2 linked regions of the Xenopus tropicalis genome follow. The protein of the gene in region 1 interacts with the protein of each later gene in a biochemical or structural test. Links are inferred from orthologs where the notes say so. Each region holds a gene or a part of one and is shown on either strand. Other genes may lie near its edges.

Region 1 (7,439 bases):
TGTATCTCTGCCATAATGAGCCAGGAACAAGAAGCCTTCAACTAATGCCTATAATTGCCCTCAAAGAAACACATACTGCATGGCTTTTATATGACTGGCATAAATGATAGTTTGAAGTGTAAATATAGATATATAATGCTTCAACTTGCAATGCCTAGATACTAACCAACAGAAAGGGTACATGGGGCAGACAGAAGCCCTCAGTCCACAGACAAGCTTCTGTGAAGCTCCAGAAACCCATTCAGATAGGTGAATCAGATCAGTTCTCAGCACTTAAATATCCTAATCCTAAAATAGATCAAACTGCTGGGAATCCTGCTGAATTCCCCAGTCTGACCTATAATAAATCTGCCCTAGTGTGTGACATCAGTATAATGCTGCTCACAGAAAGATCCTGTGTCCTTTGATGTCAGTCGGGCAGGCCCATCGTTAGTGCCTTTACACAGGCAGATAAGCTGCCGAATCGATCTAAAGGACAGATATTGGCAGCTAAAATGTGCCTGTGTGCGGCCACTTTTAGTCTGATTCTAGGTGGACAAAGAAGGTGCAACTTTTCAACATAAATGTTATGTCACCCTAATGAACACATGAACAGCATTGTCAAACCATGGAAAATATGTTTACGAATGGTAACTCCTGCTACCTTCGTAGAAGCACGACCGTATACCTGGCATAGGGAAGGTCGTCATGTAGAAGGTTCTGGTCCTTTGCTAGAAATGCCCTCTCATCAATGGTAGCAGGGGTGGCAATCCCTACAGCCAGGGCACAGAAGAACTAATGACTTGTGTGCACATAGAGAAAATAGAAGGATGAGCAGAAAGAAGCCAGAAACAAGAAGGGGGTTGTATAGACTGTTTGTATAAGGGGAGGCTACTCGGACTGCTTTCTTGGTTGGATACCCAGCTTTTGACCTTATTGGGATTTAGCCCCTCCCCAGACAGTACTTTCATTGAGTACATGGACGTCCTGGGATCTGGAGAGTAATAAGCAGCACTTTTATCCTACATAAGGCATGCCCCCAGATCACCAGGCCTAAAGCTACCCATACACATAACATAATTTGTATTATAAATTTTCCATACATGATAGACTCATACCCAAAAAGACTGAGTGCTATAACAAAATGGTGCTTCAACAAAGTATTAGTTTAAGGGTGTGCACAATTATGCAACCACATTATTTTAGTTTTTTTGGTTTTCTTTCCTCCACCTAAAAGATTTCAGTTTGTTTTTCAATTGAGTGGTACAGTTTATAGGTCACATTAAAGATGGAAAAAGTTCTGAAATGATTTATCTTTGTCTAATTTTTGTACAGCACAGGAACCTGACATTTTACCAGGGGTGTGTAGACTTTTTACATCCACTGTATGCTGTCTTCCCAAATGAACAGAACAATAGAGAGGTGGACATACTTGGTATTAAGCCTCATACAGAATCCATCCATTTAGCCAACTGGCCACATAATGAACAGAACAGGCCTGAACTCATTTCTATTAACTGATGGTTCTAGGGCTCCCATTAAAAAAACTTGAAAGGTAAATATTTTATATAAATGTTTAATTTAAATTAATCCAACATGTAGGCTACATGAAAGTGAGCCTTGCCAAATGTCAGCAGTCCTACAGCTGTTGGGAACCACAAGCACTTAAAGGAGAAATTTAAAAGATAATAATGTTAATACAAATGTTAATGTGTTGTAGGCCACTTCTGCCTAAACTGTCCTTAAAAGGAGTGGCTGATAATAAACAAAATATTGGCATCAAATTGGTAACGACTTAAAAAAGAAGGCTATGGTGACCAAGGGTAGTTTGGAGGCTGAACAAGGGACCCTCAGGGTCACATCTGGCCAACTTGCTGCCAGCAACACAGTGTGGTTCTACAAAGTGAGAATGTAAGTAACCTTGCAATTAGGATAGTCCTGCTCTATCCTTCCTCTCTCTGTACCTGGTTGCTAGGGTTACTGGTCGCAAAACGACAGCTTCCAGTGCAACCCATACCTGTGGTGCAGAGAGATGTGAATTCTGCAAAAGGTAGAGTGCTTTTTCCTGCTCCACAACAAACTTAAGATTTATTTTTAGCAGTAAATCCCCTTTAAATTATTCATGCCGCAATCAGTGTTTGGTATTTAAACAACTTAGAGTTAATGTGATTAATGGTGCAACATTTGCCCAGGTCTAGTAACCCATAGCAACCATATGAATCTTTCAAATAGCTGACCAATAAATGTTACCTGTTGGGTGGTTGTTATGGATTAATAGACCACTGACTTTGTGCCTTTTATTAGATTACCTGCTCGGCTTGCACCTACATAGCACACATGGGTCACCACTTGCTCTGAAATCAACCAATCACTATACGGCTGCTGCACTGCTAGGATATTACAACTGATACCCTCTAAGGCTGTCCTTGCAGGTACTGATAAATTGTTTCAAAACAATATTGGTGCATGAATGTTGGCCAGACAATGGCAACTAAGATCTTTTTATAATGGATACAATTCAGCCTGTCAATCAGAATTGTATGAAACGTATCTCCTAACGTACAATGTTAGCCAAAACAGCACCTCTTTCTAATCGGTGGTGGTTGTTGTGTTTATGGCCACTCATACAGTATCTGCCTAGGGGCCAAATGGCATGTGTATGGACACCCTATCACAGAAGAAACAACAGGAGCCAGGAAAGGCCCTGATGGTGGGTCACAGTTGAGAGAACTCTCCTACTGTAAATCCCTGGTAGGAAATCAAACAGGTTAAATTTAAATATGTGGACCAAAATTTGGTCAGGGGCCCTATGCCAATAACAAGATTACAGATATAGAAACCTCTACCCAACTTGCCTACAGGTAAAAAATGTAGCTTGTACCACAGTTGATATGGAACAACTCCTAGAACCTCCAAAAACAAGTGCTTAGAGCTTGAGTTAGAAACCCTATTGGCCTTCAGATGTAAATGAACTACAACTCCCAAAATGACCCCTGCAGCCTTTACCTTCCAGGGGGAATCTGGCATGTAAAGTCCAACAATAACATCTAGTGGCCATGGGTTGGCCAGGGCTCAGGGCTCAGGCCCCAGTCTGAGGGAAACAGTAAGAAAGCTTAAGAAATGTGACTCTGAATATATTGCTGAACTAGAGTTAGAGAGGGCAGAAGGTTGGTTAGCCACCATTTTAGGAAAAATGCTATGGTTTTCAGTTGTATTACCCCCACTGGGCATCCCTGATATGTATAGTAAAATATGTACAAAGTGTTATATACTTCCCCTTGATGGGCCCCAGTGTAAATTGTCTCTCTCTGTACATTATATTCTATAAATTCGCCAATCACCCCTTATTAGAGGCGGTGGCTAGTAGCCCCCTAGGAACACCAGCCAACAGCGCTATAACGCCCGGTGTATTAGAGCCAATGCCACAGCCGGGAGCCTGTATCCTTTATTGTAAGTCTCTATATCAGACACACACACGTCAGCCGAGCCCTTCCAGCGCCTTCTAGAAGCCTCCTGTGCCGCTGCCTCAGGCGAGCTCCCGGCTCTAGGGCTGTACCAGGCCGCACCGAGCAGCTGACTGGCTGGAATGGGAGGGGAATGAACGTGGCGGAGTAGAGACAACGGGAAACATAAATGAAAGGCGGGGGAGGGAAGCGGTGGTGTAACGGGCCAACCCTGCCGGGAAGTCACATGTCCGCAGCGGCTGGGGGCACAACATGGAGCCGGCAGGCTTACTAGCAAGGTCAAGGCAGTGGGCCTCCAGCCTGGATTCCCCGGGCTCGGCCGGCCCCGAGTTTTGCCAATAAGGGGGAACTGGAAGCAGCCATGCCGGGAAGCATTACCCGTAGCACTCGGGCTTCCCACTGGCAGCGAATGCCGGGTACCCACAACCCCAGGGCACAGAAGCATTTATAATAGGAATAAGCGTAGGAATCGCTGCTACTGTTGCCCCATGCAGGGCGCCCTCTAGCTGCTGGGTAGCGGCCCCAGGGCCCTTAGCACATTGTGCTGCCCAGTCAGCTGATCAATGGGAACAGCCGGAGTTAGGAATCCGTGGGCCCTGGGCACTGCTGCCATGCAGCCCGCCACCCTCCAGCTGCTGCTGAACTACAACTCCCAAGGGACTGCAGGGGATACATTCCTAATATACAGAGTAACAACAGCCAACTGTTACACAAGCACCTTCTCCCCCAGGGGCCCTGAGATACCGGGAGCCCAGTCCCTGCCCGCTCCCCTGTGTCCCCTCCCGGGTCCCCCTTACACAACCAGACACGATGGCTCCATACCAACCCCCAGCTAAATCACTGTATTCCCGGCGGCCCCCCGGGCGACGCTGTGATTGTGCCATCAGCCGGCTAGGGTGCAAGCCCCACCTAACCATTCAGCTCTGCTGCCCCCCGGTATACTGGGCACCCCCCATACATCCGGCAAATGTGCCCTTTACTGCCCCTTACCAACACTACCCTTTGCCCCATGGCTGCCCCCACCCCCGGGTCAGATGCCGACCTGTTTTCTTCTGGTGCGTTTCCTGGTGCTGTAGGGCGTGTTTCTGCTCATGTTTCAGCGGCTTGGGCTGGCATTTGGCGCTGCTGCCTTCGGCTCCATGCTGCTGGCTGTTTGTGTAATAGTAGTAATGGCTGTGAGAAGACGGAGAGTGGAGGTGGTGAGGATGGTGATGGTGGTAGTGGTGCTGCTGCTGTTGGCCAGGCTGCTCCTCCATTGAAAGTGAGTGGGCTCCCCCTGCGCTGGATGCAGAGCACAGAGCCCCTCGGTGGATGTGAGTGTGCAGATGCGCTGCCTCCCGCACTAGGGCAAGCCGGTTGGCTTAGGGACTTTCTAGAAACGATTGACTGTCTCTATCCAGCAATCAGGCCTCTCCAAGTGCCTCTTGTCGCCTCCCACATGCCCCTCAATGCCACCTCCCCTTCCTCCTTCCTGGCCGACACCCCTCCTTCCCTCCCTGCCTGCCGCTGCTGCCGCACAACTTGTCTCCTGCAACCTCACGGCAGGGCTGGGCTTCCAACGTCAGCACTATGGCTCTGGCACTGTGGCCCTAGCGCTATGGCTCTGGCACTATGACTCTGGCACTGTGGCCCTAGCGCTATGGCTCTGGCACTATGACTCTGGCACTGTGGCCCTAGCGCTACGGCTCTGGCACTATGGCTCTGGCACTGTGGCCCTAGCGCTATGGTCCTGGCGCTATGGCTCTGGCACTGTGGCCCTAGCGCTACAGTCCTGGCACTGTGGCCCTAGCGCTATGGTCCTGGCACTGTGACCCTAGCGCTATGGCTCTGGCACTGTGGCCCTAGCGCTACGGTCCTCACACTGTGACCTTAGCGCTATGGCTCTGGCACTGTGGCCCTAGCGCTATGGCTCTGGCACTGTGGCCCTAGCGCTACAGTCCTGGCACTATGGCTCTGGCACTGTGGCCTTAGCGCTACGGTCCTGGCACTGTGACCCTAGCGCTATGGCTCTGGCACTGTGGCCCTAGCGCTACGGTCCTCACACTGTGACCTTAGCGCTATGGCTCTGGCACTGTGGCCCTAGCGCTACAGTCCTGGCACTGTGACCCTAGCGCTATGGTCCTGGCGCAATGGCTCTGGCACTGTGGCCCTAGCGCTACGGTCCTGGCACTGTGACCCTAGCGCTACGGTCCTGGCACTGTGACCCTAGCACTACGGTCCTGGCACTGTGACCCTAGCGCTACGGTCCTGGCACTGTGACCCTAGCGCTGCGGTCCTGGCACTGTGACCCTAACGCTACGGTCCTGGCACTGTGACCCTAGCGCTACGGTCCTGACGCTATGGCTCTGGCACTGTGGCCCTAGCGCTATGGTCCTGACGCTGTGGCCCTAGCGATGTGTCCTGGGCACTGTGGCCCTAGGGCTGTGGCTCTGGCAGTGTGGCCCTAGCGCTATGGCTCTGGCAGTGTGGCCCTAGCGCTATGGCTCTCCCTGCTCCCGGGCAGCGGCGGCACCTTCATACAGCGCCTCTACAGTGGGAGCTTGCAGTCTGGGGTGCTCAGCCTACCCTAACATGGACCAATTGCAATGGGATATTATTAAACATTAGCTGTACTGAACAACACCACAGGGGCTGGAGCAGCCAGGCTGTGTGCAACAAAGGAATGACTAGGCATACAGGGGGTACATAGCTGTATTAAAGTGTTTCATTAGTTTCCTCATTGTTCTGTATCCTATACCCAACATCTTGGAACCCCAAGTGATTCACTTTATTTTCTGTGTAGCAGCAGTGCTGTAAGGATAGAACTTGTGTATACACAGGCGGTTTCTATGCACATAGAAAAGTACATAGAGCACAACAAAAATGCATGTATTGCATGTATATGTTTCTTTTTTATGCGCCTAAGTGCATTTTTGTCAGTTTCAAACACAACCCTCTATTTTATTGTCTGGGCAAAAATGCAGCATGTGGCAGATTTGGACTGAGCCTGCGGGACACCAGGAAAAACCCAGTGGGCCCCGCCATCCTAGAATCAATCTCCACCAGAAAGCGTCAGCACTTTCACACTGACCCCTTTAAATAAGTTCAGGTGCAGGCACATGTAATCAATATCCACCAAAAAACGCAAGACCCAGGTAGGAGGATTTTACAGTATGCAAGAGTATGCCACATGTGGCATTGTCCTTAGAGCCTTAGTCACTTGCCTGCTCCCCTGAGCTGGTGTCCTTACCTAAACTGCTTGCTTGGCACTGCGCCACCATTTATTTTAGTCTCAGGTGCCCCTGCGCAAACTCTACAGGGGCGGGGGAATATATATACTACTGAAATCTTGGGACAATTCTGTACTACGATTGCCCAACATGGGAAGAATGGAAAAAGATGGCATTCACTTGGGCTAGGGTAAGTATTTACAGTAAAGGAAGAGTGAGCGCCAGTCAGAGGGTAGCAGATAATCCACTAAAATTACTGGGGGGGAAGTGGAGGTTTTACCAAACCTACTTCTTTAATAAGAGACCTTTGTTTTCTACTTTAATCTCTGGTTTCTATGTATGTGTGTTTAAGCTGCCATAATGCTTGCCTGTTCAGAGACAATGTCCATATTTATATAATCAGAATTGCATTTCCTTAACTGGCCACTAGGGTGCTCTTTATGTGCACACATTTGCCTGTATGCTTTATTCATTACATTGCAACATTATTAATTATCTGTTATTCTAAAATACATAAAATCTTAAGACTGTAATGTAATTAAAAATAACACAGTATGTTAAACCTTCCGAACTCACATATTTGGCAGTTCTTTACAGATATTGTTCCTCATATACTGTACTTGCCCCTGCCCCATTGAAGTGTACAATGCCCTACCACGCACACACACACACACTCACACTCACTCTCTCTCTCTCACTACAGTCACATTTATGGTGAGCCAATATAACCTGTCTGATTTTGTGACGGACGACTTCTGGCAGTCAGATAACTACTTATTTCTTCTGC
Region 2 (7,737 bases), on another chromosome or scaffold:
TAAGACACTATATATATATTATATCTTATATATTTACTTTTTTCAAGCAAAATCTAGGCTGTTATATAGGGCATATTTCACTTGTGGTGAAACTAGTTACTAAGCAAAAAACATTTTACAAACTACCATGAAACCAGTGTCACCATTCACCATCCACTGATGTAGGTGTTGGCTCTTTTAATGAGAAATCGGAAATTAGATGCTAAATGTTTATTACCTCTACCTTAATATTGGTTTACTTACCTCTACCTCATCACTTTCATTTATATCCTTATTATACCCTGATGGAGGTGGAAATCTTACATCATGGAATGGGATTTGTCTCTCTTGCTGCCAGCTGTAAAAACATTAATTTATCATACAGCAGTATAAAGCAGTTCATAACAAATGCTACCTGCAAATACTTAACAACTGACCTATTTTGTATTTAGCTGATTACAGCAGTAATACAACACTGACATAAAGCTAACAGGTAAAAGGAATGTCACACAACTTTAAAAGCATATTTTTTTCTAGTTTAACTGTCCCTCCCCTCCAATTATGGAGCCATGGTAGGAAATAGGCAAAAGCTCAGTACAAACAGACTTTTTTGATGCCCATTACCTGCTCAGTGTCTGTCCAATTCCCTGCATATTAGCAGCTCAGCACAACATGCAGGGAACATTTTCATATCCTTACACATGCTCAAGTAGCATCATGGCAAGAAAATTCTCACATCAATATGGCAGCCAGGAAGAGGACTCCAGAAAAAGCTTTATAGTCAAGATCTATAAAATGTATAATGTATCAAACAAAGTATGCATAGTGGTTGCGGTTGGGGAAACTTTTCACTGAAGGTAAGAGTGAGGGGGCTTAGAAGAGGCTTGACTTTCCCTTTAAAAATCAGCTTTTTATACACTTATCTTTCAGGTGAAAAAAAAAATATATATTAATTTCCATTGTACACAAATAAAAATACAGTAGAGACTGCAGGTTTCTTTAATAGTGTATCACTTCCCAATTTGAGCCTAAAATAATAAGAGGTTGACTGATGCTGACCACAAGCTCTGATTTATCATGCAGTTCCACTCACTTCCACACTAGCTGCAGGTACTTACTTGTTTTCAAAAGTGACAGTTATAGAATCCTCATGTACATCCTTCACAAATGCCTATGAGAGACGAAAAGAAAGTCATACATTAACATATTAAGTATAGAGACTTTATATGCACAGTTACATTTGAAAATGACTTTACAACTTAACACAATTTGCAATTTGTTGATTAGGATTTTATTTTGTTCTGCAGTTTTCCATTATGGCATTTACACTACAATTTACTAATTGCAATTTTGATTACCTCTATCTGCAATATACCGAAATTTATTCAGAGGTGGACTCCCCTTTTAAACTGAATGTGTACTGAGATCCAAATCCTTTTTGTGACACTGACTTTTTGATTTTATTTTTAAAATGTGTGCACCTTGCCTTGATAGCAATGTTAACAACTCATACTACTCATAGGCTTTAAACTCTGTCTGTTTCTGACCTGCAGCAATAAAGATTTAGGTAATAAAATCCTATGCTGGTATCTGACATTACATCAATATGTCTGCATATTATCAGGTGAACAACAAGACCACAGGGGACCTTAGGCACTGCACTGAGACTAATACAGTCAACATAACATAGACCACTATAATTGTCTATATGTGTTTGACTTTGAATGGATTTCAATTTGGAGAGCTAATCATTGCCTCGCCATGCATATAAGCAATGTGAGTGGGTGCAAACAGCTACAATGATCGATCATATTGAACAGTGTTTGGTTCCTGTTAGATGAGAGCAATGCATCTGCAGACCAATATATAAGGCAGTAATATTTGTATGCAAAAGGTGAAGAATATGTCTGTGACAAAAAGGAAAATACAGTTGGTGTGCCACAAAATGTGAAATTCAGTGAGGAGGCTCAATCACAATGGTGTAGGTTTCGCCAGGTCTACAAATTGGTACCATGTAGAAATAAAAAAATCCACTGGAGAGCCAAATGCGTTCTGTGTTGTTTATTAGTTCAGAGATGCATAGCACTACATGTTTCGGACCGCTGGGGTCCTTCCTCTGGTGCAGTATGTCTGCCCTGACTGTCTGTCAAGTACAGGGTTTATATAAGGTGTAAAAGAAAGAACTGCAAAAGTAAACATAAAACCCACACGCTGCATGGGTAAACTATTAACCTAGATGAGTGATGCACAGCTACACAGAAACCACAAAAGCCTGCATAGAGCATAAAGGGCCTATCATAGGAAAATTATTTCCCCCATTTGAAGTGTTATTTGAGACTTATAGCGAGTGATATGCCACCTGCACTGGCAGGGAGCTCCCATTATGGACAGTCATGTTTGGGGACATGCATTCTCAAAAGCGAGTCTCCCGGCTCACTCAATATGCGTGTGTGATGTCACTTTCATTCACATAAATGAGTACCGACCAGAGTGCAGGGCCCTATTAGCCTACACCTCCACTGGGGGGTTATCAACTTGCCAGGGCTTCTACTCCTCAGGTGCTTCTATAACTACATACTAGTGGGTATTCATTTGAAGGGGTTCAATGAATAGGGGCTGTAATTTGTCTATTGCTTTAATTCTAAAATATGTATGATTTTTTTTATTTTTGCACTAAACAGATTATTTTGTGGCCAAGCTTGTCATGACATATAGCAAAGGAGATCCGCATCAAGCATAATACAGTTCTGCACTTGACAAGTCTATACTGCTACAGGGCCAGAATATATTAGTGCCATTAGTGCCATGCAGTGCTACACAGCTAGGGCCTTCCCCTGAAATTTGCAATGCACACAGCTAGAACCATCTTTGGCAAATGTAGGAATAACCCAGCTTCAGCAGCATTTCAAGTTCAGATGCCATCATAGGGAAAACTGTATTCAGTGCCACAGGTAACATTTTGGACTAAACCCAGCCGAACTTGGGAAGGGGCTTAGAACAGTAGGACACATTATCTGTGGCAATGAACACAGTTTGCGATATTATGCATCTGATTTTGGAGTGCTCCTGAATTTCGGCTATTGATGGCATTAAGTTGCTTTAGGTAGCATGTTGCCGTGTATGTAAACCTGCTGTGTGGCACACTTAATCTATTTCATCTTGTTGTACTTTATACCTGCCAGAAATGGCAGTTTTACAGAACAGGGTTACCACATACGTAGCTGGACAAGTTCCTTGCACATTGCACAAGGGCTTTTGCTGAAAAAAGGTGCAATGTTATACACCAATGCATCACCCTTTCAATCTTGTAATGTTCTACAGTTGGTAAAAAGGCCTTTAATAAAGGATATGTATTAAAAAGACTAAGCTTTTCTCCTGCAGTAGTTAAACAGGATAACCTTGTCACATAGGAGGCTTGTCCATACAGCCTGGTACTTGATGTTTAACCTACAGGAGAGGAGGATGACATTTTTCATTGGGGGTTCTACCACTAGAAGGGTTCCATTGAGAAATAAGGATGATATATGTATATATAAACTTTGACACCGTGGAGGCTAAGACTCCCTAAATCTTCATCATTCTGCACCTAGATGAACCTCCGCATGTTTCACAGAGGAAGCCATAGTGTGACAGGCTTGCACCAGAGATCTCCTTCCCCACCACAGAACAGATCTGTCCAACAGGCAGTGCTTAGCGGAGTTCGCCCCGGGGATCTCCCTGTCCTGTTATAGGCGGGGATCTCCCTCCCCACTATCAGAGCTGGAAAGAGTGCGGCCAAGTTTGCAGCGAGTGTCTCCCAAGGAGGATGCAAACCCGAGCAGGCAGACTTGTAAGGAAGGGTAGGCTGGGGCGGAAGCTGGTGCTGATGCTGTTAGACTGAGGGGACAGACCTATGAATGGATGGATGGAGGGGGGAGTTTGCAAGTCATTATCGTGATGCACAGGCCTACACACATCCCGCTCCGGCCTTGGCTTGGCTATGAGAGACCTTAGGATTCCAGGAGGATTATTACAGGTCAAAAAAGGCGGAGTTTCCGGAAAGCAGCCGGCCTCACCTTGTAGAAGGCTCCATTGGAGCCCCGCACCTCCACGGCCAGCTCCTCCATGTTGGGTCCGCGCGATGCCTTGGTTACGGGCGGCAGATAAGGCGGGTCTCCCACCCCCCGCCCAGGCCTCGTTTCTGTCAGTGTGCCAAAGCCAGCATTAGGCCCGCCGCCCGCCACCGCTGCTCCTGCTCTCGGGAAATGAAAGCGAAACGGGACCCCGTCCGGCAAGGAATCCCCAACACCGCCTCGAATGTAAACATTAAAACCGTGTCACGTGACAGCAGGCCGCGGCTTAGAGCCCGCCCATTCGCACAGGCACTGCTGCTGCAACCTAACCTGTCGGTGCAACCTAACCCGCCGGCTTCCTTCCCTCCTCACTCACTAACCCGCCGACGGACATTTAGACGAACCAATCAAACTGAAGGCAGTGTTATATATTTATTTATGGCTGTGCCAGATTGTGACGGCGGCACACGTAGGGCGGGATCTGGTACGGTTGTCATGGTGCTCAGAGAGCAGACAGAGGTGTGGCTGAAGAGCGCGTCTGGCGGCGGGAATGAAACGCGAGGGAGGGGGACCATGGGGGTCTCCCCGCTGTTTCTGCCCCTGTTAGTAATGTGATCGGGAAACCTGGCGAAACACTCGTTAGAGCACGTTTACTCTATTCAAAAGACAGAATGATGCAAAACAACAAGGGGCTGCAGAAAATAATAATTACAAAATAGTGGACACCACAAGAAAAAAACTGCCTTTATTAAATATATCCGCTTTTTCGTTAGAAAGATCCCTGAGTAATGTGATGAAATAGAAAATAAAGTATTTAAATAAGTAGAAAAACAAGTTGATGAGGGATTTGCCATTGCTGGTGCATGCTTCAGTCAAGGTTAAACAAAATAAATGCCTGATGGTGGGCCTGTTCCAGTTGTGCCCTTAGCAGCGGCCTTTTTGCCCATGCAAGTGCCTGGCAACAACTCAGTAGTTAAAATGCCAGGCTAAGGTTGGACTTCCTATCTCTCTCTATATTTCTAATGTCATTGTTAACTTTGGCGTGGTGCATTGTTGGAGAGAATAAAATACACATGCAGAATGGATTATCTAACAGCATTAAAACATGACATTGTCAAACTTTTGAATAAAGTTTAGTATAGCAGGGATATTATAGGCCTCATGGAAGGGACCAGAACATAAAGAGAAGAAAAGATATATACTAATTGGGCTTTACAACATCTGAGGGAATGTGGAGAAGACAAGCACAAGGGCTTTAATATAGAACAGTGGCTATTGTGGGAATATACAAATATGTGGTTGCTGAAAGAATGAAAATGTAAATCTATATGTTAAACATATATATATATATATATTAATTGGGCTTTACAGGGACATCTTTAGAGTTAGTGGCACTTAGAGGGTTAATTTACACCTTTTAAAATGATAATTTTTGAAATTATTGTTGCTTTATTTTTTCACTTTTTACCTCCCCATCCCTCCCCTACAATTCAGTAAAATAGAGATAGTAGGTTCTGTATAAACTCTCTGCTCCTTTTCCCAAACTGCAGTTTGGAATGTATTTATTAACACTGGAGGAAAATATCACTGGTGATGCTGCCCATAGCAGCTAATCAGCAATTAGATTTAAATGGTCACCTACAAATATGAAAACAAGCAAAGATCTGATTAGTAGCTATGGGCAACATCACTGGTCATGTTTGTCTCCGGTGTTAATAAATACGCCCCTTTATGTCTCAAGCTTACAGAGAAGTAGGAGTTCATTACATAGACAGTTTAAATAGGAATGGTTAGTTGAATAACTGCCTTCTGCTTCTCCCACAATTTCTCAGGAGAACCAGGAAATAAAAATACTTTTCTCTAATGAGTCTCTGATCTATTTCCTTTGTGTAACCCCTGCAGACAAGTCCAGCTGGGAGGGATTAAAGCATGGGGTACATTGGATTCTTTTTCTTTGGAAGGGCCTTTGCTATGTGGAAGACTATACCATATATACTCGAGTATAAGCCGATCCGAATATAAGCCGAAGTACCTAATTTTACCTAAGAAAACTGGAAAAACTTATTAACTCGAGTATAAGCCTAGGGTGGGAAATGCAGCAGCTACTGCTAAGTTTCAATAATCAAGATAAAAACCAGTAAATTACATAAATTGAGGCATCAGTGGGGTATATGTTTTAAATATTTATTTAAAAGAAAAACCGTAAACTAGCTTTGTAAGTAGAGAAGAGGGTCAACAAAAACAATATGAGTACTACCCCATGCTCATAGCGCATTGGCAAACTGGCAACAGACCCAGTCCCGGAGGACACGTAAGGGGCAATAAGTATTGTGACTGGGAGTGGGCCAGGGCACTGGAGGGTCTGGTTGCAGGTGGCCTAATTTGCACACAAAGGACAGAGGGTGCTAGTCTGGAGGGACCCATGGCACCCGACTCAAGCCGATGGTGACTTTTTCAGCACATTTTGGGTGCTGAAAAACTAGGCTTATACTCGAGTATATACAGTATATGGGTGGTGTTGTCGACTACACCTCCCACTGCCAGCTATAATAAAGGTAAAAGTAATAATAAGGACTCCAGAAGCTATTTGCAATGAAACTGAAGAACAGTTTGATTTGTCCAATACAATGATACAAGGCAAGGTTATCAATACTCACAAAACAGCTGTAATCAATAAATTCCAGGTTCAAATGATGGTAAAGGCAGAGCAGATGGGCAGAAGCTAACCAGCAGCTGACCTGTTAGGCTGATGCCACACGTGGCGTTTTTACGCTGCGTATTTTCTAATTCTCTCGGCAGCTGAAAAACGCATGATATCATCATCCATAGAAATAACTTGAAAAGACTTGAAGGAAACCACACAATGCGTAAATACGCTAGAAAACGCCTTACCACGGATTTTTCAAGCGTTTGCCGAAATATGCTGTTATTTGCACAGCAACCTATTCCTATGTATACACAAAGGCAGATGCCAGACCTAGCGGAAATACACTGCGTTTTTTACTATTTCGCACTATTAGCACCATCGGAAACGGGATTTGCTACATCACCAGTACTAGGCTGAAAAATGCCATAGTCAGGGCCACACACTAATATTTTGTTACGCCACCTTCTGCAAAGTTGACTGCATCGCTGAGATGAAAAGAGTAAAACTGAAGCGAATGGAGTCAAACTGTCATAAATTGAATACAATCAAATTAACTGAAATTTCACTCCAGTTTAGTAAATAAGGGGGCACATTCATTAAAGTACGGCAGGCCCCAATACGTTTTTGCGTATTTTCTACGATGTTTTCGTTAATTTGCGCAACTTTTTTGTACTTTGCGACAATTTGTGCTACAAAATCGTATTTGTTGTAACGAGTACGAAAGTTTCGGATTCATTAATGCTTCTTTTTCGTGATTTTCCTTGGGCCAGTTTGGAGCTGCAGAGTGCCATTGAGTCCTATGTGAGGCTTCCAAAAACATGCACAGAAGGATCAAAGTCAGAAAGTTTTTTGCGCCGTTTATGATCGTTTGGATCCGAAAATTTCAGATCATACCACAATATTTTTGTAGGACCACGGTGTGAATTTTTGCGTAATTAACACACATCAGAAATTATCATGGTTAGTCCGAATTTTTTCCAATCGTGCTTTAAATTGGCGAAAATTTGCACTTTGATAAATGTGCCCCAAGGTGTTTTTGTATGCTTTGGCATTTTATCC

Evidence for each region. The genes of interacting proteins can lie anywhere in the genome.
Region 2: the proteins of nufip2 (region 1) and fmr1 form a complex in vitro, tested with the Homo sapiens proteins (2 studies listed by BioGRID and IntAct, with this or other methods). The link is inferred for Xenopus tropicalis from reciprocal best matches to the Homo sapiens genes NUFIP2 and FMR1.

Annotation. Positions count from the first base shown.
Region 1 is NC_030678.2:33,012,014-33,019,452, reverse strand, and holds the start of nufip2 (nuclear fragile X mental retardation-interacting protein 2), read right to left. Parts: upstream 4,919-7,439; 5' UTR 4,700-4,918; coding exon 4,486-4,699; intron 1-4,485. UniProt on the Homo sapiens protein: Binds RNA.
Region 2 is NC_030684.2:56,987,400-56,995,136, reverse strand, and holds the start of fmr1 (synaptic functional regulator FMR1), read right to left. Parts: upstream 4,294-7,737; 5' UTR 4,086-4,293; coding exon 4,035-4,085; intron 1,151-4,034; coding exon 1,098-1,150; intron 338-1,097; coding exon 244-337; intron 1-243.